Linked DNA regions of Callithrix jacchus. The protein of the gene in region 1 purifies or fractionates together with the protein of each later gene. This does not show direct contact. Links are inferred from orthologs where the notes say so. Each region holds a gene or a part of one and is shown on either strand. Other genes may lie near its edges.

Region 1 (9,276 bases):
CATCCAGCTAACCCTTGACTCTCTTTAAACTGAGCACCTGCTATGTTCCAGACTCCGAAGGCTTTGGAAACACAAGGAGGAGTGGTACTCAGCCTGGGCCATTCCTCTCCAGCTGGGGTGTGGACACCCCTGGGCACACACAATGTGTCTGGAGACATGAGAAGCCACAGGGAGACACTAGACTGGATGGTAATTTTTTTTTTTTCCTCAGTCTGTCACCCAGTGGCACAATTGCGGCCCACTGCCCCCTTGACCCTGCCTCATCCTCCTGAGTAGCTGAGGACTACAGGCACCTGCCATCATGGTTGGCTAATTTTGTATTTTTTGTAGAGACAGGGTTCACCATGTTGCTCAGGCTGGTCTCTAACTCCTGGGCTCAAGTGATCCTCCTGCCTTGGCCTGCCAAAGTGCTAGGATTACAGGTGTGAACTACTGCATCTGGCCTGGATGGTTATTTGTTTATTTTTTGTGACGGCGTCCCCCTCTGTCGCCCAGGCTGGAGTGCAGTGGCGCGATCTCAGCTCATTGTAACCTCTGTCTCCCAGGTTCAAGCGATTCTCCTGCCTCAGCCTCCTGAGTAGCTGGGACTACAGGTGCCCACCAGCACACCTGGCTAATTTTTGTATTTTTAGTAGAGACGGGATTTCTCCATGTTGGCCAGGCTGGTCTCAAACTCCTGACCACATGGGATCCTCCTGCCTTGGCCTCCCAAAGTGCTGGGATTACAGGCGTGAGCCACCGTGCCCAGCCTGGATGGTAATTTAGAACATTCTTTTTATTTTGAAAAATCCTGCCTACATTATAGGTAGGCCTTGACTGGCAGGTGCTAGGAATGGGTTTTAAACCCAGACAGTCTTGCTCTGCAGCTGACAGAACCAGATGATAACAATTGTAGCCAACCTTTATAGCGTTATCTATGACTAATTTATATTGTATACACTGTGTTCCTGGCATTGTTTGATGTGCTTTACACATAACAACTTGAGTAATATTTGAAACAGCCCTACAAAGTAAGTAATGTTATATTAGCCCCATTTTACAGATGAGAAAACTGAAGACCAGAGAATGTAAGTAACCTACTCAGAGCCACATGGCTAGTGAGTAGAAAAATCGGTTCCAGAGCCCATTCTCTTCACCACTGTTCTGCGAGTGTTGGAGGAAGGGGTGTAATGGAAGGAGCTGGCCAGAGGCCTGACCCTTACCCATCTACCATGGCGTCTCCTCGGATTAGCTTGAGGTTCTTGAAAAAGCCCAGGGACACGAGGGCAAAGGAGTGCTTGATTTTGAGGAAGCCAGTAATGGTCTCTACCAGCCCCAGGCTGTGCTGCAGCTGCGGCTCCAGGTTGTCTAGGGATGGGGAAGACGGGGCTGGAGCAGGAGCAGGGAAGGTGATGGGTCTGTGGGGCAAGGGGGCTGAATGGGGAGGTGGGGGTAGGCCCTCAGGGCTGGAACCCAGGATGATGGAAAGTGGGGCTTAGTTGGGCCCATTGTAAGGGTGTGCCTGGGAGGAAGGGCATGGCCAGGAGGAGGGGTGTGACCCCAGAGTAGGTACTGACAGCCCTGGCGAAGGTTGAGGATGAGGCTTCCCTCCACATGTGTGCAGTCCACCAGATCCTGTGCCGCCTGGATGGAGTCGATGGTCTTGGTGCCTACCTTGCACTCTTTAGGGCACAGCCCCTCGCATTTGTGGCAGAATATGCTAGCAGGAGCAAGTAGATGTCCTGAGCCTTGGACCAGCCTGGGCCTCCTCAGGCCTCCTCACTGCTCCCAGGGTGCCCCCCCCACCCTCCCTACACTCACCTGCTGCTATTACGGGTGAAGCCAGAAGGGCACTGGGCCAGGCAACTGCCCTGGTGTATGCCGAAGGTGGAGGCGCGGCCGGGCACAGAGCGCAGGCTGGCACAGTGCTCAGCTGTGACACAGCGCCAGGACTCATACTGGTAGGTGCCTGGAGGGCAGGCCCACAGGCAGGCACCCTGAAAGTAGAGGTGACGGCAAGCTACACAGGCACGAGGGTCTTCTGGCCGGCTGCAGCCCCCCAGGCATTCGGTGTGGCAGCACTCACCCCTTGCTGTGCAAGCCAGCCCATGGGGGCAGGGGCACACTGTGGGCAGAGTGGTGTGTTAGACCTTGGCCATGCCCCCTCAGTCATGGCTGCCCTTCCAATGCTGGCCCCACCCCATTTCTCTTGGGATGATACTCAATCTGCACCCAGGTCCCTTCCATTCAGATGACACTGGCTGCTGACTCTGTTTCCCTCTGACAGGATTCTTAAGGACAAGGCCTGTGGCCCTGTCTGTGGCTCCCCACCTCCCACAGTGCCTAGTCGGCGGTGTCAGAGCTCAGGACAGAGCAGTGACCTTGTCCATCAGGGTTGTTGCTCTCCAGACTGCTGTTCTGTCTGTCCTGTCTAGGCGTGGTGCCCAGATCATGGCTGGGCATAGTGCCATAGTGAGCCAGCCAGCCTCTCCTGAGCAGCTAGGCCCAGGGGCCTGAGACTGTGTGCAGGGAGGGGCTGATATCCGTCGTTTTACCCCTGCTTCTGCGTGTACCGCCTCCCAGTTCAGTTTCCTGCCCTGGACAAGAAGTGGCTCCAAGCAGCAGTAGGAGGGTTTGGGGTTGGGGGTCCAATTGCCTAGAAACTGCATAGTGGCAGCTGGCTGGCTGTGGGAACAATCTATGGGGCGAAGGTCAGCCAGGTCGTGTTGACACTGTACAGGAGAGGATGCCAGCAGCTGTTTACAGCCAACAGGGAGGCATCAGGGAGGTGGGGCGCAGCCGCTACAGCGGGGATCTGGTTACTCTCCCACCTGCCCTGCTGCTGAGGCACTGGGGGTGAGAGGAGCTGACCTCCAGGAGCTGAGAGTAAAAGACCCCCAGGTTGGGAGACCCCAGATCTGCTCCCCACCTCTGAAAGGTCTTCCTCGCCTTTTCTATAACTTTGCACTTCCTCTTCCTCCGGCCATCCCTCTGTTTTCTCCTTCCCCCTTTCTCTACTGCCTCTTTCCTCTCCGAGCATCAAGCATCGTCCTAAAGGTCCCACCTCACATCTTTGCTCTCACCTGCTCAGTTCTTCATCGATCGCCTCCTCCTTTCTTCTCCCGCTCACCCCCAACCTCACCCTCCCGTTACAGTACTGCCAGCTGACCCTGGATCACTAGGCTGCGGCCACTCTGATTAGGAACAGAACTGCTACCCTGACGCGGGTGCTGCTCTGACGTTTGTAGAAGAACTCATTCCTCATGCCACCCAGTGATCCTTTTTACAGCTCAGGAAACTGCCACAGAGAGGCTAGGTGAATACAGCCGGTAGGTGGTAGAGGCGAGACTTGAACCCAGGCCCTCTGGCTTTGCATTTAGCCACTGCCCCACACTGCTTCTTGTGCTGCCTCCTCTCTGTTTGTGCCTACTCTTTTTCCCCCAAGCCTACATTGAACCTGTCCTTCACCTACTCCATGATGCCGTCTTGAGCCTTCCTCTTGGCTGTCTTATGCCACATTGGTTATCTAACTTTTCTGAGCCTTAGTTTCCTTACCTGCCTTATAGGAAGAGTGAGGATTAAAAAACAGTGGCAGCTGAAAGTACTGACCGATACCACTCTGTGGCCACCCAGCCCCACAAGCCCCTGCTCTTTCTGATCCCTACAGTCAACACTGTATGCCAGTGCCCACCTCTCTGGCAGTGGCTGGAGGTCCAGCATCTGTAGTCAGTGTGCCCACTGAAGGTGGTCTTGGCGCAGGGCTCGCCAGCAGCACCCAGCACACCAGGGCACACGTCAGCACACTCCTCGCCCAGCTTGTTGCCCACGATGTGGTTGGCGCCAGGTACCGGCTGCAGCAATCCCCAGTCAATGGTGGAGAGGTGGCAGAGCTCCTGGTTCTTCTCCACACGCACAGCCCCACGCAGCACGGCCCCAAGCGCAGGCAGTCCCACGTCACGCAGATGCGGCATCTCAAAGATGACCAGGGCATAGCCCAGGAAGAGGCGCGTCCCGCGGATGACGGCTAGGTTGGGGAAGAGGTCGCGCAGGCTCTCCAGTCCGTAGACACGGAAGAGCAGCAGGTAGTCGGTGACCTGGGTGAGGCGAGGGAAGCTGAGGCCGCGGAAGTCGTCCCCGGTGGCTGTGAACATGAGCAGGATCTGCAGGTGGCCCTCCACCATGCTGCAGTTCTCCAGCCGACGAAGCTCTGCTGCCTCTGAGCGAATGTCCAGGCTGGGGCAAACTGTGGGCACACATGGCACTCAGCAGTGAGTACAGCCTAGGCCAAGCTCCCCATCCAGCTCCGGCAGCTTTGGAGGGGAGCACGCTGGCAGTAGGACAATGAGTGAGGAGCCCGGCTCTTCTCTGGGTGTGGGGTGGCCTCTGCCCTGGGCCTTGGAGGGCTCACCTGCAGCCTTCGGGGTCTCTACCAGATGAGCCACACAGGCAGAAATGAACTCCTGATCTCTCCCAAGCCCATTTCCCCTTCTTAGTTAAAAGCAACATTCCTGCAGTCCGGCTCCCAACTTAAAGTCATCCTTAATGCCTTTCTTTTTCACCTTCTGCATCCTGTGGGTTTATCTTTAAAATGTATCCAGAAATGGCAGGGCATGGTGGCCCACCCCTGTAATCCCAGCACTTTGGGAGGCCAAGGCGGGCAGATCATAAGGTCAGAAGTTTGAGACCAGCCTGGCCAACATGGTAAAACCCTGTCTCTACTAATAATAGAAAAATTAGCTGGGTGTGGTGGTGCGCGTCTGTAGTCCCAGCTACTCAGGTGGCTGAGGCAGGAGAATCACTTGAACCTGGGAGGTGGAGGTTGTAGTGAGCTGAGATCGTGCCATTGCACTCCAGCCTGGGTGACAGAGCAAGACTCTGTCTTCCATCTCAAAAAATAAAAATAAAAATACACACACACACACACACACAGAATCTGAACTACTTGTGAACACCTTCACAGCTTCCACCATCATCATCATCTTCCCTTGGATTCACAGTAATAGCCTCCCAGACTGTCTCCCCAATGCCTCCCTTGTCCCTCTATGGACCATTCTCCGCACTGCAGCCAGAGTGATCTCAAAACACAGATGGCTCATGCTTCTCCTCTGCTTATGACCCCGTGACTTCCATCTCTCTTGATCTTACCACGGCCTACAGGGCCCTGTCTGATTTCAGCTCCTGTAACCCCTCTGACTTCATCCTCTTTATCTTCTTCAGCCTCACTGACTTCTTCGCTATCCTTTAAACAAGCCAGCCAAGCTCCCACCTTGGGGTCTTTGTCCTATTCCTTCCGGCCAGAACCCTCCTCCCTCTACATGGCTTGCTCACCTCCTTAAGTCTGGCCAAATGTCCCTTTCTCAATGAGGCCTTCTCTCACCATCTGACTTTATTTGTTTGTTTGTTTGTTTGTTTGTCTGTGATGGAGTCTCACCCTGTTGCCCAGGTTGGAGTGCAGTGGCACAATCTCAGCTCACTACAGCCTCCATCTCCCAGGTTTGAGCTATTCTCCTCCTTCAGCCTCCAGACTAGCTGGGATTACAGGTGCCCACCAGCACGCCTAGCTAATTTTCGCATTTTTAGTAGAGACAAGGTTTTACCATGTTTTTGTGTTTTTAGTAGAGACGAGACCCGGGTGGCCTCAAACTCCTGACCTCAAATGATCCACCCACCTCAGCCTCCCAAAGTTCTGGGATTATAGGCATGAGCCACCACGCCCGGCCTGACCATCCTATTTAAAACTGACTTTTTACGTCTGTAAGCCCAGCACTTTGGGAGGCTGAGATGGGAAGACTGCTTGAGCCCAGGAGTTCGAGACCAGCTTGGCCAACATGGTGAAACCCCCCTCTCTACAAAAATATACAAAAATTAGCCAGGTGTGGTGGTACATGTCTATAGTCTCAGGTACTCAGGAGGTTAAGATGGGAGGATTGCTTGAGCCCAGGAAGTCAAGGCTGCAGTGAGCCGTGATCACACCACTGCACTCCAGCCTGGGCGACAGAGTGAGACTCAGTGTCTAAAATAATAATAATAAACTAAATAAAATAAAATAAAATTGTGGCACTCTCTACTCCCCCTTCTGCTTGAGTTTTCTCTATAATTCTTAACACTGACTAATGTATTTGTGTGTGTGTAATATTTTGAGATAGAGTTTCACTCTTACAAAATTGTTGTGTACTATGGCAGGATCACAGTTTGCTGCACCCTTGACCCCTGGCCTCCTCAAGTAATCCCTCTGCCTTGGCCTCCCAAAGTGCTGGGATTACAGGTATCAGCCATCATGCCTGACCATATATTTATTTTTAACACTGGCTAAAATATAATTTATATATTAATATAGATATGTATTTATTTATATAAATACATTTATTTTGTTTATTGTAAGCGCCATAAGGGCAGGGATATTTGTATAATTCATGTTGTACCCTAGTGGCTGGTATAGTGACTGGCACAAAATTGGCACTCAATAAATATTTGATGAATGAGTGAATGAGAGCAGTGGTCTGAGCTTCATAGATCCCATGTCTCTCTCAGTCCTAAGGGAGTTAGATGCCTGTTCCCTGAATTTGATTACTCATGAAGGAACATTCTAGAGCTCCCCATTGCTAAAGAATCAAGTTTCAGTTCCTCAGCCTGACACTGCAGGGTGTAGATGAACCATCCCTTACTTATGCCTCCAGGCTCAGAAGGGGCCTTCAGGCCTTGTCCTGCAAATCTTCCCTGACCCTCTGGCCCCAAGTTAGTCACTTCCCCTTCAGGCTCAGCTACCCTTAGTTCAGCGCCAACACCAGATTACCTGAGGGCATTGCTCCAAAATTGTTGTGTACATCTCTGTCATCCCCTGCAAAGAGGGTGGGACCCTTGTCGGTCAGCTCTGCATTCCCCCAGTTGTGCCCAGTCCAGGGCTGGAACCACTGGGAACCCAGGAACCGTGGACAATGGATGTCTGGATTCCCAAGTCTGCTCCTTCCTTGGGGACGTGGGTGTGTGGCTTCTTCACCAGGGCCCAAGCCCCATTCCCTTTTTCTCCCCAGCCCCCTAAGGGGGCTGGATGCCTGGACTCACTTGCTCCCGAGAGGACCTTCTATGACTCCCCACTGCAGAAGATTCAAGTCTGAATGTTTCAGCCTGACATTCAGCTCCTGCTAATGTCTCCAGCCTCTACTTCCCTTCCCGCCGAGCCCTCCGGGTTATCACAAACACCACACAGCACGAGGCCCGGTTCCTGATAGTTTGTTAAGAGAGGTGGGCAGGCCAGGCTGGCTCCCTGGGGGTGACTTCACATCTTCTCCCTGTTGTCATTAATAGTCCTGAGCTTGGCTCTGCCCAGCAGCTGTGTGTGTGTGTGTGTGTGTGTGTGTGTGTGTGTGTGTGTGTCTGAGCCCACGCAGGTACACACACAAAATAGAGGGAGAGAGAATGAGAAAACACTTCTATCCCTTCCAGGCGAAAGCCAATCAGGCTCTGTGAGGCAGATGGGGGTTCTCTCAGGCGCCCACTTCCCATCATGCCCCTGCCTCTCCAGGGCTCCCCTGATGGGAGTCATTTGGAAAAACAAATCTAAAACCTTCACAGATTAACCCCTGCCTTCCCTCAGGACCCGGCTCTGTGCAGAGCTGCACTGGGAATGGAACATCTGGGTCCCCTGAACAAATACGAACCCCTCCAAGGATGTGCTCTTGTCCTGACAACCACACTCCCAGCTGGCATCTGCTGTGCAGGACAGGAGGGGGTTCAGTGGCTAGGGGAGTGGTGCTGTGCCTTACATACAGAGGCTCAGTGACTGGCACCCTTCAGGGGACCTCCTACCCAGCCCATTTTGTTGCTCTCCTGTCTCCATAAGAAGGGGAGACTCCCCTGCCTCTGGAAGCCCCCAGTCTGAGGGGCATCACAGGATCCCTCAGGCAGGCACCAAGTGCTGGATTCCTGAGCTGGTTCAGTCTGGAGGGGAATGGTGGGACTGAGGAAGGGGATACCCCTTAATCCTTCCCTTTTTGAAGCTTCCACCCTCAGCTCTTTTTCATCTTTCCATCAGGCCCCCCAGTACCTCCATGACGGTCATTTAGTCTGTATAGTTCCCCCCACCCCTCCACCCCCGTACTCTCCATCTCTCTCTCTTTTTTTTTTGAGGTAGAGTCTTGCTCTGTTGCCCAGGCTGGAGTGCAGTGGTGTGATTTCAAGCAATTCTCTGCCTCAGCCTCCTGAGTAGCTGGGAGTACAGGTGCCTGCCACCACACCCGGCTATTTTTTCTTTTTTTTTGTATTTTTAGTAGAGATGGGGTTTCACTATCTTGGCTAGGCTGTCTTGAATTCCTGACCACGTGATCCACCTGCCTCGGCCTCCCAAAGTGCTGGGATTACAGGCATGAGCCACCCTACCTGGCCTCACCGCCATACTCTCTAAAACCTAATCATGGGCAGTATCTAGCCTGGGGGACAGGCCCTGTGAAAAGCAGTTGAGGAAAAGCAGTTTCCCCCAGAACCAGCCTTCCACCCCGTAGTGATTGGACCCTAAGGAGGGGGGACACACAGGACCACAGGACAGGGCCCTGGAGGCCGGCTCAGGACGCAGTCTAGCGTCACCCTTAGTCCCCTGAGCGCAGTCTTCTGTCTGCAGCATTTGCCTCCATTACTTCATGGTGCCTGGTCCTCAGCTCCCTGTCCCACCCTGCTTCTTCCCATTCTGTGGCCCCAGAGATGACTTCTAACACTCACAGCCTCATTTTGGTTTTCAGGCAAGCTTTACTGGGATTGCAGTTTCACTAGTAGGGATGGAAGATATCTATTCGTCCCCGTTTTGAAGCCCTTTTCCCCTCTGAGGGAGCTGAGGGAAAAACACCTTTATGCGGGGAACTCACTGCTTCTCCTGCTGGGCGGTTCTCCTGAGAGCTAACCGCAGCCTCCATGGTCCAGTGCAGAGTAAGTGGATGTTCCGTGGCTGCAAGCCCAGATGTCTGGCTTCCCAGTTGGCTGGGAGAGAGGTAGGGGTCTGGGAGCCAGTTCTGGGGACTCACCCTCTAGTGCATCCAGGCCAAGTCCCAAGGAGAGGACGATCGCAGGCAGGCATGCTCCCCAGGGCCACAGACCAGGTACTGCCATTGTCCCAGTCCTGGCTTGTGTCCAGTCCCAGCTCTTCTGGTGGCTCTGGGGAGAAGAGTTTGACAAGCCCTAAGGGACACAGAGACCAGGGTTCAGATAGGAGACGGAGGGGGCAGGGGCAGAGGCAAGGAATCCCACACAGCAGGAGACAGAAAACAAGAAATGAGAGTCACAGAGACACAAAGATAGTGACAGGCAAGT
Region 2 (9,376 bases), on another chromosome or scaffold:
TTTCTCTTCCTCTGCCTCATCATCACTAATTTCCTTCTCTCGTTCCTTCTCCAACTAAACAACAAAAACAAAAGTTAGCCTTGAGTACTAACCACTAACAGGGAAAGCAAAAGCCAGGGCCCATGATGACTCCAGAACAGGAAACACCCTGCACGTTAAGTGAAAAAGGTTTAAAAGTCCACACTCACATAGAGGGTGATGGGATAGCCTATGAACTGAGAGTGCTTCTTCACTACTTCTTTGACCCGCCTTTCTTCTAAGTACTCTGTCTGATCTTCTTTAAGGTGGAGGATCACTTTGGTACCCCTGCCAATGGGCTCACCTACAAGAGTCAGTCACAAGCATGTAACAGGGTGAAAATATAAAAGCAGTTAAGACTTCACCAAGCCAAAAAAAAAAAAAAAAAAGTATATTAGCGAGGCTGCTATAATTTCAACTGCTTTACAAACAGGATGCTAAAAATTTCTGCCACTTCACAAGCCCAGAAAACTCCAACCCAGCTTAACTTGTAACGGGAGAGCTTACCATGGTCAGCACGCACAGTGAAGGAACCTCCAGCAGAAGACTCCCAGGCATACTGTTCATCATCATTGTGCTTTGTGATCACAACCACTTTCTCTGCCACCAGGTAGGCAGAATAAAAGCCAACACCAAATTGCCCAATCATGGAGATGTCTGCACCAGCCTGCCAACAAGTTATTTAAAGTCAAACACAAGTTTTCGAAAAGCAACAAACCAAAGCACACTGACAAATATGAATGGTGTGTGCCTGCAAAACTGCACATACCTGAAGAGCCTCCATGAATGCTTTAGTACCAGACTTGGCAATGGTTCCCAAATTATTTATGAGATCTGCTTTGGTCATGCCAATGCCCGTGTCTACCAAAGTCAAGGTACGTTCCTGAGGGTTGGGGATGATGTCAATTTTCAGCTCTTTACCACTGTCCAACTTTGAAGGGTCTGTCAGGCTCTCATAGCGAATCTTGTCCAAGGCCTGAAAATACAAATAGGAATTTGCTTTTGTTTTCCCTTTAAGACAGGCTCTGGCTCTGTCGCTCAAGCTACGGTGCAATGTTAAGGATCACAGCTCACTGCAGCCTGGACCTCCCAGGCTCAAGCCACACTCCCACGTAGCTGGACTACAGGCACATGCTACCATGGCCACTTAATATTTTTTTTTTTTTTGCAGAAACAAGATCTTGCTATGTTGCCCTTAAAGTCCTAGATTCAAGTGATTCTCCTGCCTTGGCATTACAGGTGTGGAGCCAACAGCTCGACCAATTTTTTTTTTTTTTTTTTTTGAGACAAGTTTGGCTCTTGTTGCCCAGGCTGGAGTGCAGTGGCGCAATCTCAGCTTACTGCAACCTCTGCCTCCTGGGTTTGGGTTCAAGTGAATCTCCTGCCTCAGCCTCCCAAGTAGCTGGGATTACAGGTACTCGTCACCATGCCCAGCTAATTTGTTGTTGTTCTATTTTTAGTAAAGACAGGGTTTCACCATGTTGGCCAAGCTGGTCTTGAACTCCAGGCTAGTCATGATCCACCTCCCAAAGTAGTGGGATTACAGGCATGAACCACTGCGCCCACTTTTGTTTTGTTAAAGCCCTTATCTTCAAAGAAAATCTTGGTGTATTTCTGTCAGCCTCAATCTGATTGCCCCTTATGTTGAGGCATTAGAACCATAGTTACACCAACCCACTTATCCTGGACATAGTCCCTTCCAACTTCAAAATGGCCACAAAGTAAGACAAATCTTTTTGGAATAGTTGCAGGTTTACCTCTTCAACAGTAGTCCCCAACAAAGGCCAAACTACCCCTCTCCTTCTTCCAGAATGTTAAAATATATGAAATGTGAAAACCAGAGCACTTACATCAGAAGCATTAGAAATCAACTCCCGAAGGAAAATCTCCTTGTTGGAATAGAAGGTATTGATGATGAGAGACATGAGTTGGGCAATTTCTGCCTGAAAGGCAAAAGTCTCCACCTCCTCCTCTCCATGGTGCACTTCCTCAGGCATCTAAAATAAAAATAGTAATTAATTACAAAAGAATATGAAGGCCCCATATTTAGAAATCCTAATGGTTGCCTGTCATTGGAACCTTAAAACGTGAGTTGAGTGGTGGTTTAAGCTGAGTACTATTATCCCTTCCCAAGAGACGAAAAAAGCATTCTCTTTAAAGCTCTCAGGCTACACACTAAGTGGGAAGCCAAATCAAAAGGAAAAAGAAAATAAGCTACAATGTTCTTCAACCAAATGTCACAGAACCCAGTTACTTAAAGAATGGTGGCCAACAGGCTCAGCGTCACCTGGTAGTATGGCAGAAACTCATAATCCTGGTCCAACCCAGGTATCTAGGGATCCCTGGTAATCCTTGCGCAAATTTAAATGTGAAAATCACTAGCTACGGTTCTTTATATTTGGGGGAGGTCAAAGTAACCAGTAGTTTAAGATTAAAATGGCACTAACGTTAAACCGGTCCCCCTGAGGTGTCTTCCTAAAATCAGCCTAAGGTGCAGGACTTCTGCCCCACACGGCAAAGAGGAATAATCAGATCCGTAGGCCACCAGCCCGAGGAGCAATTAAATCCAGACAAAAAAATCGAAAAACCAAAAGCTCAACCACGACCCCTTTACAGCACAGAATTACAGTACAGGACCAAACCCAACACAGGAAAGATGGTGGCCGTAGCCACCGGGCCGACTCTCGTCACTGTTGAACATGCATCGGCAGGGGCCACGCGAGGAGGGGACGCCACCATGTACCCTCCCTTCTCCCCAGCATCCGGGCACCGGGGCGGGGCGCCAGAATCCAGAAGCTTCCAGAACAATCTCAGCTCTCGAGGAGGGGCGGAGGAGGGAGCCCAAGAATCTTCCAGACCCTGCCCTCTCCCCACCCCTCCTCCACGGGGACTGCAAGAAAGATCTGGAAGGAGGAAATATGGGAGCTGGAGGCCGAAAACGCTTCTCCCTCACCGTGAGCCCTCACAGAAACAAAGCACCCAAGGCTTTCGACGCGGCCGTAAAGAGAGATGGTGAGGCCAGTCCCGCAGGGCCGTGCTGAGTCACCCCATGCGAGCACCCCCGCCACCCTGCGGTCCCCCTCCGGCGCCCTGTAGCCGCCTCCGGAAGTGGAGAAGCAAGAATGGCAGCGTCCTGGGCCGCGCGGCCACCACGTGCAGCTGCCCTCCGCCCACTCCCCCAACCCCTCAGCCCACCTCGCCACGGCTAGCAGCCGCCGAGAAAAAAGCCCACCGCCCAAGCACACAAGAGAAAACGGAGCAAAACTCAAGAGCCCTCACCTACTACCACCCTCACCCTGTAAAAATCCAGGGCGTTATCCACAGCCCACCCCGACATCTGGGCTTCCTAAAAACAGAAAAAGAAAACAGCAAAACGAAAGAGCAGTGAAGGAAAAGAAACCTGGCAGAGACTTCGGCCTTACCTTCAAAAGAAAAGGCTCACAGGTATTAGAAAGCAAGGTGGGCTGGCTGTCCAACACACACACACACACACACAGACAAGAGCAGCGCCGGAGCGACTCAAGAGAGCTATTTCACGCCCCAGGTCGCCCTATATAAGGCGAAGCACAGCACAGCCCCCCTCCCCCGGATCCCTCCGCCTTAAAGGAGTACCCTTGTCAACTCCGCACCTGCCACCACCAGCCCACCTTGACGTCATGGTCCGAAATAAGGGAGGGGGCAGAGAAGAACCCAAGCAGCGGGTCCACTCACACGTTTGCTTGTGACCACAGCCCCCATGTCTGCACGTCTAGGACATGACCCGCTCAAGAGCGGGGATGAGGAGTGCTCATTTGACAAAGCAGTGTCTCTACGAACGAGGACCCACTATCCTCCCTAAAAACCTGTGGGGCAGGCGTCCCCACACCCAAGGGCGGGGCTGGGGGAGGGGGACACCTAAAAAAAGCGGAGGTGGCTAACCACACCGACCGCCGCTCCCAGACGCAATCTTCTTCCTAGAATCTGCCCCACACATTTCGCATCCCGGTAGAAAGAATTGGAATTCGGGACCCAACCTTGGGCAGCCACAGATCCGACTCTCCCAGGCGCACAGGAAGGGCGGAGGCTTAGCTACGGTGGGTAGATCAGCGTTGAGAGAGGGCGCCGGCCGGGGCTGGTGGGGACTTTTTGCCGGCACGCGGCGGAAGACGCGGCGGCGGTGGCGGCACTGCGGCCTTTCCAGCAGTTTCCAGGTCTGTCTCGGCGGTCCGGCCCCCGCCCGCCCCCTCCCCGCGAGGCTCCGCCTCTCCGGCTGCTGCCCGGCGGGAGCAGAGTCTTTACGGCGACTCTGCCCGGCCTCCGGCTCTGACCGTCCGACCTACTAGCCCAATCCTCGGGGATGGGATGGAGCGTTAGGAAGGGATCGACCTACCCCTCCTTCCCCCAGTCAATCACACAACACCCGGGCACCTGGGGCGCCTCTGCGGGCGTCCACTTATGCAGACTGAGACTGGAAACAGAGTCGCTACTGGAGGGACCCCCTCCATTCCCTGCGGCCGCCACGTACACGGAGCACAGGAACATGCACCCTCCCTACGCAGGCACGTCAAGCCTTTTCCCAAGCTGTTTTGCTTTTTTTCCGCCCACTTCCCTCTTGCAGCTATTTGGACATGGGAAGGTGAGGAGTCTCCAGGAACCACTGCAGGGCAGTCAGAGCTCATGGAGGCCTCGTGACGACGCCGGCCAGAGAGCGGCTGGACAAGTTGTTCCCCTTTAGCCTTGGCGTCAGAGCGGGTAGGCCATGCCCCTGGCCAGTGAGCTGCAGACCGCCATGTCTGGCCTGGTTCAGCCCTTTTGCCTGCCTTCCAGTTGGCAAGCTGCCTTGCCTTTCCAAGGTCTCATCCGAAATCCTGCTGGACCCACAGCCCCTCCAGGAGAGAATAACCACTCCCGTGCCTTGTAGACGTCCTTCTACTCCCCTTCCTGGCCCACCCCTGGGATGCCTGGGAAGGGTTTTCCCCACGACCACCCACATCGTCCTCCCTCACCAGCCCTGTTACCCATCTACATTCCTTAACAAGCTTTGAATACCAAAAAACAAAGGCAGTCCCATGCTTTCCTCTTCATTGTCCCCGTCCACTGTCCACCTCAACGTGCCCGCCATCACTACCCCGATTTTATGTCCTTTCTCCCTTCCTTTATGGTCTGCAAAAAGCCAATGGCTGGGAGAAGTCTATAGGAAGGAGCGTTGGAGGCTCTGTTCCTGACCAAAACCGCAAACCCGAGGGAGTGTGATCCTTTAACATGCCCTCTCCTTCTAAGCAGTGGGGCCTAGCTCATTAAAAATCTGCTCCCCAGTTTACAGAGCATTCACAAAATCTCACTGTCCTGTGAGCAGATGAAAGTCAGTGTGCACTTTCTATCAACAGGAAAATGGCTTCAGTGACTCCCAGGGTCCCTCTTCTCAGAGCCCTTGCTGCACTAGCTCCCTTCCTGCTCTACAAATGGAGCAGGGATGTGATCTCACTCCTAGGACCTAAATCCAAAGCAGGAATCACTCCTGTGGGATGGGCTTCCCGAGCTGGATCCTTTCAGTGTCAAGACTCAGCAGCTTCCTGAAGACTTTCTAAATTGGAAAATCTCAAATCTTACACCAGCATATAAATTCCACTTTCTCAGCTGGGCTCAGTGCCTCACGCCTGTGATCTCAGCACTTTGGGAGGGCAAGGTGGGTGGATCACATGAGGTCAGGAGTTTGAGACTAGCCTGGCCAACATGGTGAAACCTTGTCTTGACTAAAAATACAAAAATTAGCTAGATGTAGCGGCGGGCACCTATAACCCCAGCTACGTGGGAGGCTGAGGCAGGAAAATCACTTGAACTCGGGAGGCAGAGGTTGCAGTTAGCCAAGACCATGCCATTGTGGTGGCTCATGCCCATAATTCCAGCACTTTGAGAGGCCGAGGCGGGTGGACCACAAGTCAGGAGTTCAAGACCAGCCTGGCCAATAGGGTGAAACCCCGTCTCTACTAAAAATACAAAAATTAGCCAGACATGGTGGTGTGCTCTGGTAGTCCCAGCCACTCGGGAGGCTTAGGCAGAAGAATCACTTGAACCCAGGAGGCAGAAGTTGCAGTGAGCCAAGATCGCGCCACTGTACTCCAGCCTGGGCCACAGAGCCAGATTCTGCCTCAAGAAAAAAAAAAAAGAAAGAAAGAAAAGAAATTCCACTTTCGCTTCCAGGAAACCTTTCAGGAGACTACCTAGCTATGTCCAGAAGCTTCAACCTTTTCTGCTCATTGACACTCACTAATCTCCACTGTGTGGTGATTGTGGGGATGCAGAGATTCATACACAGGACTGGGAGCCCTCAGCCCATGGGGGACTGCAGCAGGCCAAGTATGAACCATAGGAGGATGGGAGAAGCAGCAGAGGCCCTCAGCTCAGCCTGGGGAAGGGAGCAGTCTTAGGACCATGGCTAGCCTGGCCATGACATGAAAAGCATGGCAAGGCACAGGGCCCCATTAGAGGAACCGTAGCTCAGGAACCCAAAAGGGAAGCACAAGGAGTTGAAAGTAGCCCTGCAGATAGGGGTTAGGTCACAGAGGGCAGCAAATGCCACTGGTAAGACGTTCTGACCTCAAAGGTGCGAGAAGTGAAGGCTATAAAAGATAGGCTTAAAACTACATCTTCTGAAGCCTTATTCCCAGCGGCACTTGGGACCATAGATATTCCCAAGATCCCTGGTATTCCTCCATGAAATCTCCTAGGCCCAGCCCAGCCTTCTGCTGTTGAAGGGTGGCCAGCTAAAGCAGGGATTAACAACCCAAGGCCTGCAGCTGGTGGGCCTGCTGCTTGTTTTAGAATGTCCTGTGGGCCAAGAGTGGTTTTTACACTTTATAATGGTTGAAATAAAAAAATCAAAATATATTATTTTTTTTTATTTTTTATTTATTTTTTTTTTTGAGACGGAGTTTCACTTTTGCTACCCAGGCTGGAGTGCAATGGCGCGATCCCGGCTCACCGCAACCTCCGCCTCCTGGGTTCAGGCAATTCTCCTGCCTCAGCCTCCCGAGTAGCTGGGATTACAGGCACGCACCACTGTGCCCAGCTAATTTTTTGTATTTTTAGTAGAGACGGGGTTTCACCATGTTGACCAGGATGGTCTCGATCTCTTGACCTCGTGATCCACCCACCTCAACCTCCCAAAGTGCTGAGATTACAGGCATGAGCCACCGCGCCTGGCCCAAAATATATTATTTTAATGTGGAAAAACTATATGAAATTTGAGTTTCTGTTTTCATGAAGTTTTTTGTTTTTGTTTTTGAGATGGAGTCTGGCTCTTGTGCAGTGGCACGATCTCAGCTCACTGCAACCTCCACCCCAGGTTCAAGCGATTCTCCTGTCTGAGCCCCCCAAGTAGCTGGGATTACAGGTGCCCACCACCACTCCTGGCTAATTTTTGTATTTTTAGTAGAGGTGGTGTTTCACCACGTTGGCCAGGCTGGTCTCCAGCTCCTGAGCTCAGGTGATCTGCCTGCTTCAGCCTTCCAAATTGCTGTGATTACAGGCGTGAGCCAGTGCCTGGCCAATTTTAATGAAACTTTAGGGCCGGGCGTGGTGGCTCACGCCTGTAATCCAAGCACTTTGGAGGCCAAGGCGGGGCAGATCACCTGAGGTTGGGAGTTCAAGACCAGCCTGACCAACATGGTGAAACCCCTTCTTTAAAAAAAAAAAAGGAAAAGAAATTTTATTGAAACAGCCCTCATCTTTGACTGCTTCTGTGCCATAAGGTCAAAATCGATAGTTGTGACAGAGACCATAACACTTGCAAACCCTAAAACATTCACTCTCTTGCCTTTTACAGACCCTAAGCTATTTTAAAGCTCAGTAAAGTCTTGCAGGGAGTACAGAGACTCAGCTTGGACACAGTCTGGGGTTCATGGAGGCCACTGAGGAGAGTTAAATAAAGCTCAGTGGACAAATAAACTACTGAGGGCCAGAGGAGGACACCAGGCATATGAGCATGGAGAGTAGCTGTGGACCTTGAACCCCTAGAACAAGTAGCCTCTTAAGCTCAGTGCCTGCCAGGTGTGTCCCGTTACTTTCTGGGCCTTCTCAGTTCCATGAGGCTTAGATCTGAATTCCTAAGGGAATACCCTGAACTGACACCCTCCAGTACTAGTGAGCCCGACATTCAGACGCATTGGACAGTTGGGCAGGTCTGCACAACCCGCATGGACTCCACCTCTTTGCCTCCATTTTCACGTTTCCACTAGTACACAAGAGAAGTCTCATGTACAACTTTTGGTCACTGTATTGTTAGTATTGCTATTTTTTCGATGCCATAGAAAATGGTAATTTTTGTTCATTTTCTGTTTCCCAGAGTTCAAAAAGCAATTGAGCAATTTAATTTTTGTTTATTGATCTAGCAAGTTGGTAAGCTACCTTACTAATTTTTAATTTGTCTGTAAATGTTTTGGCGTTTTGTAGGTACAACCATATCACCTGAAAACAATGACAGTTTGGTTTCTCCTTTTCTGATTCTTGCATCTCTTATTTCTTGTTTTAATGCACCAGCTAGGATCGCAGAACAGTGATGAAATAGTAATTCTAGGCATCCCTGTCTGATTCCTGATCAGAAAATGAAAGCTACTAACACTTCACCATTGTAGTCTTTTTTTTTTTTTTTTTTTTTTTAAGACAGGGTCTTGCTCTGTCACAGAGGCTGACTTACCATGGTGCAATCATAGCTCACCACAGCCTCAACCTCCCAGACTCAGGCGATCCTCCCATTTCAACCCCACAAGTAGCGGGGACCACCATGCCTGGCTAATTTTTTTATTTTGTAGAGATGGGGCCTCCCTATGTCACACAGGCTGGTCTCAAACTCATGGGTTCAAGTGATACTCCCACCATGGCCTCCCAAAGTGCTGGGATTACAGGCATGAGCCACTCTCACCTATCTGAGCATATTTACTTTTTCTATTCCTAACTTGCTGCAAAGTTTAATGTGAATAGGTGTCAAGTTATTTTTTGTTTCTATTGAGAATATTATTTTTTAAATTCCCTTCATCTGTTTATATGGTTTATATGGTTAATTTATAAAAGACTTTCTAATATTAGACTGAAATGATCTGTTTCTTTAAAGTTGTATAGAATTTGCCTGTAAAAACTACCCAGATCTGTTGTTTTCCATATGGAAATATTTAAGAACTCAATTTCTAAAATAGTTTTCTATCTTTCCCTGAGTCAATTTTGCTAATAATTTTTCTGAATGGTTCTTGAAAGTTTTACACATTATGGGCATACTGTTTTCTCTTACTATGTTTCTTTTAAATTATCATTGTTTGAGACAGGGTCTCTGTCTGTCACCCAGGCTGTAGTGAAGTGGAGTTAACATGGCTCACTGCAGCCTCCA

What was found.
Region 2: the proteins of INSRR (region 1) and HSP90AB1 purify together in Homo sapiens (affinity purification with mass spectrometry; 3 studies listed by BioGRID and IntAct, with this or other methods). This does not show direct contact. The link is inferred for Callithrix jacchus from reciprocal best matches to the Homo sapiens genes INSRR and HSP90AB1.

What each region holds. Positions count from the first base shown.
Region 1 is NC_133519.1:17,248,903-17,258,178, forward strand, and holds part of INSRR (insulin receptor-related protein), read right to left. Parts: 5' UTR 9,076-9,276; coding exon 8,991-9,075; intron 4,223-8,990; coding exon 3,671-4,222; intron 2,105-3,670; coding exon 1,801-2,104; intron 1,700-1,800; coding exon 1,557-1,699; intron 1,348-1,556; coding exon 1,203-1,347; intron 1-1,202. UniProt on the Homo sapiens protein: Receptor with tyrosine-protein kinase activity. Functions as a pH sensing receptor which is activated by increased extracellular pH. Activates an intracellular signaling pathway that involves IRS1 and AKT1/PKB.
Region 2 is NC_133505.1:52,706,710-52,716,085, reverse strand, and holds the start of HSP90AB1 (heat shock protein HSP 90-beta), read right to left. Parts: upstream 4,168-9,376; 5' UTR 4,032-4,167; intron 3,548-4,031; exon of another isoform or gene 3,441-3,547; intron 3,146-3,440; exon of another isoform or gene 2,972-3,145; intron 2,016-2,971; coding exon 1,869-2,015; intron 995-1,868; coding exon 788-994; intron 686-787; coding exon 526-685; intron 323-525; coding exon 189-322; intron 55-188; coding exon 1-54. UniProt on the Homo sapiens protein: Molecular chaperone that promotes the maturation, structural maintenance and proper regulation of specific target proteins involved for instance in cell cycle control and signal transduction. Undergoes a functional cycle linked to its ATPase activity.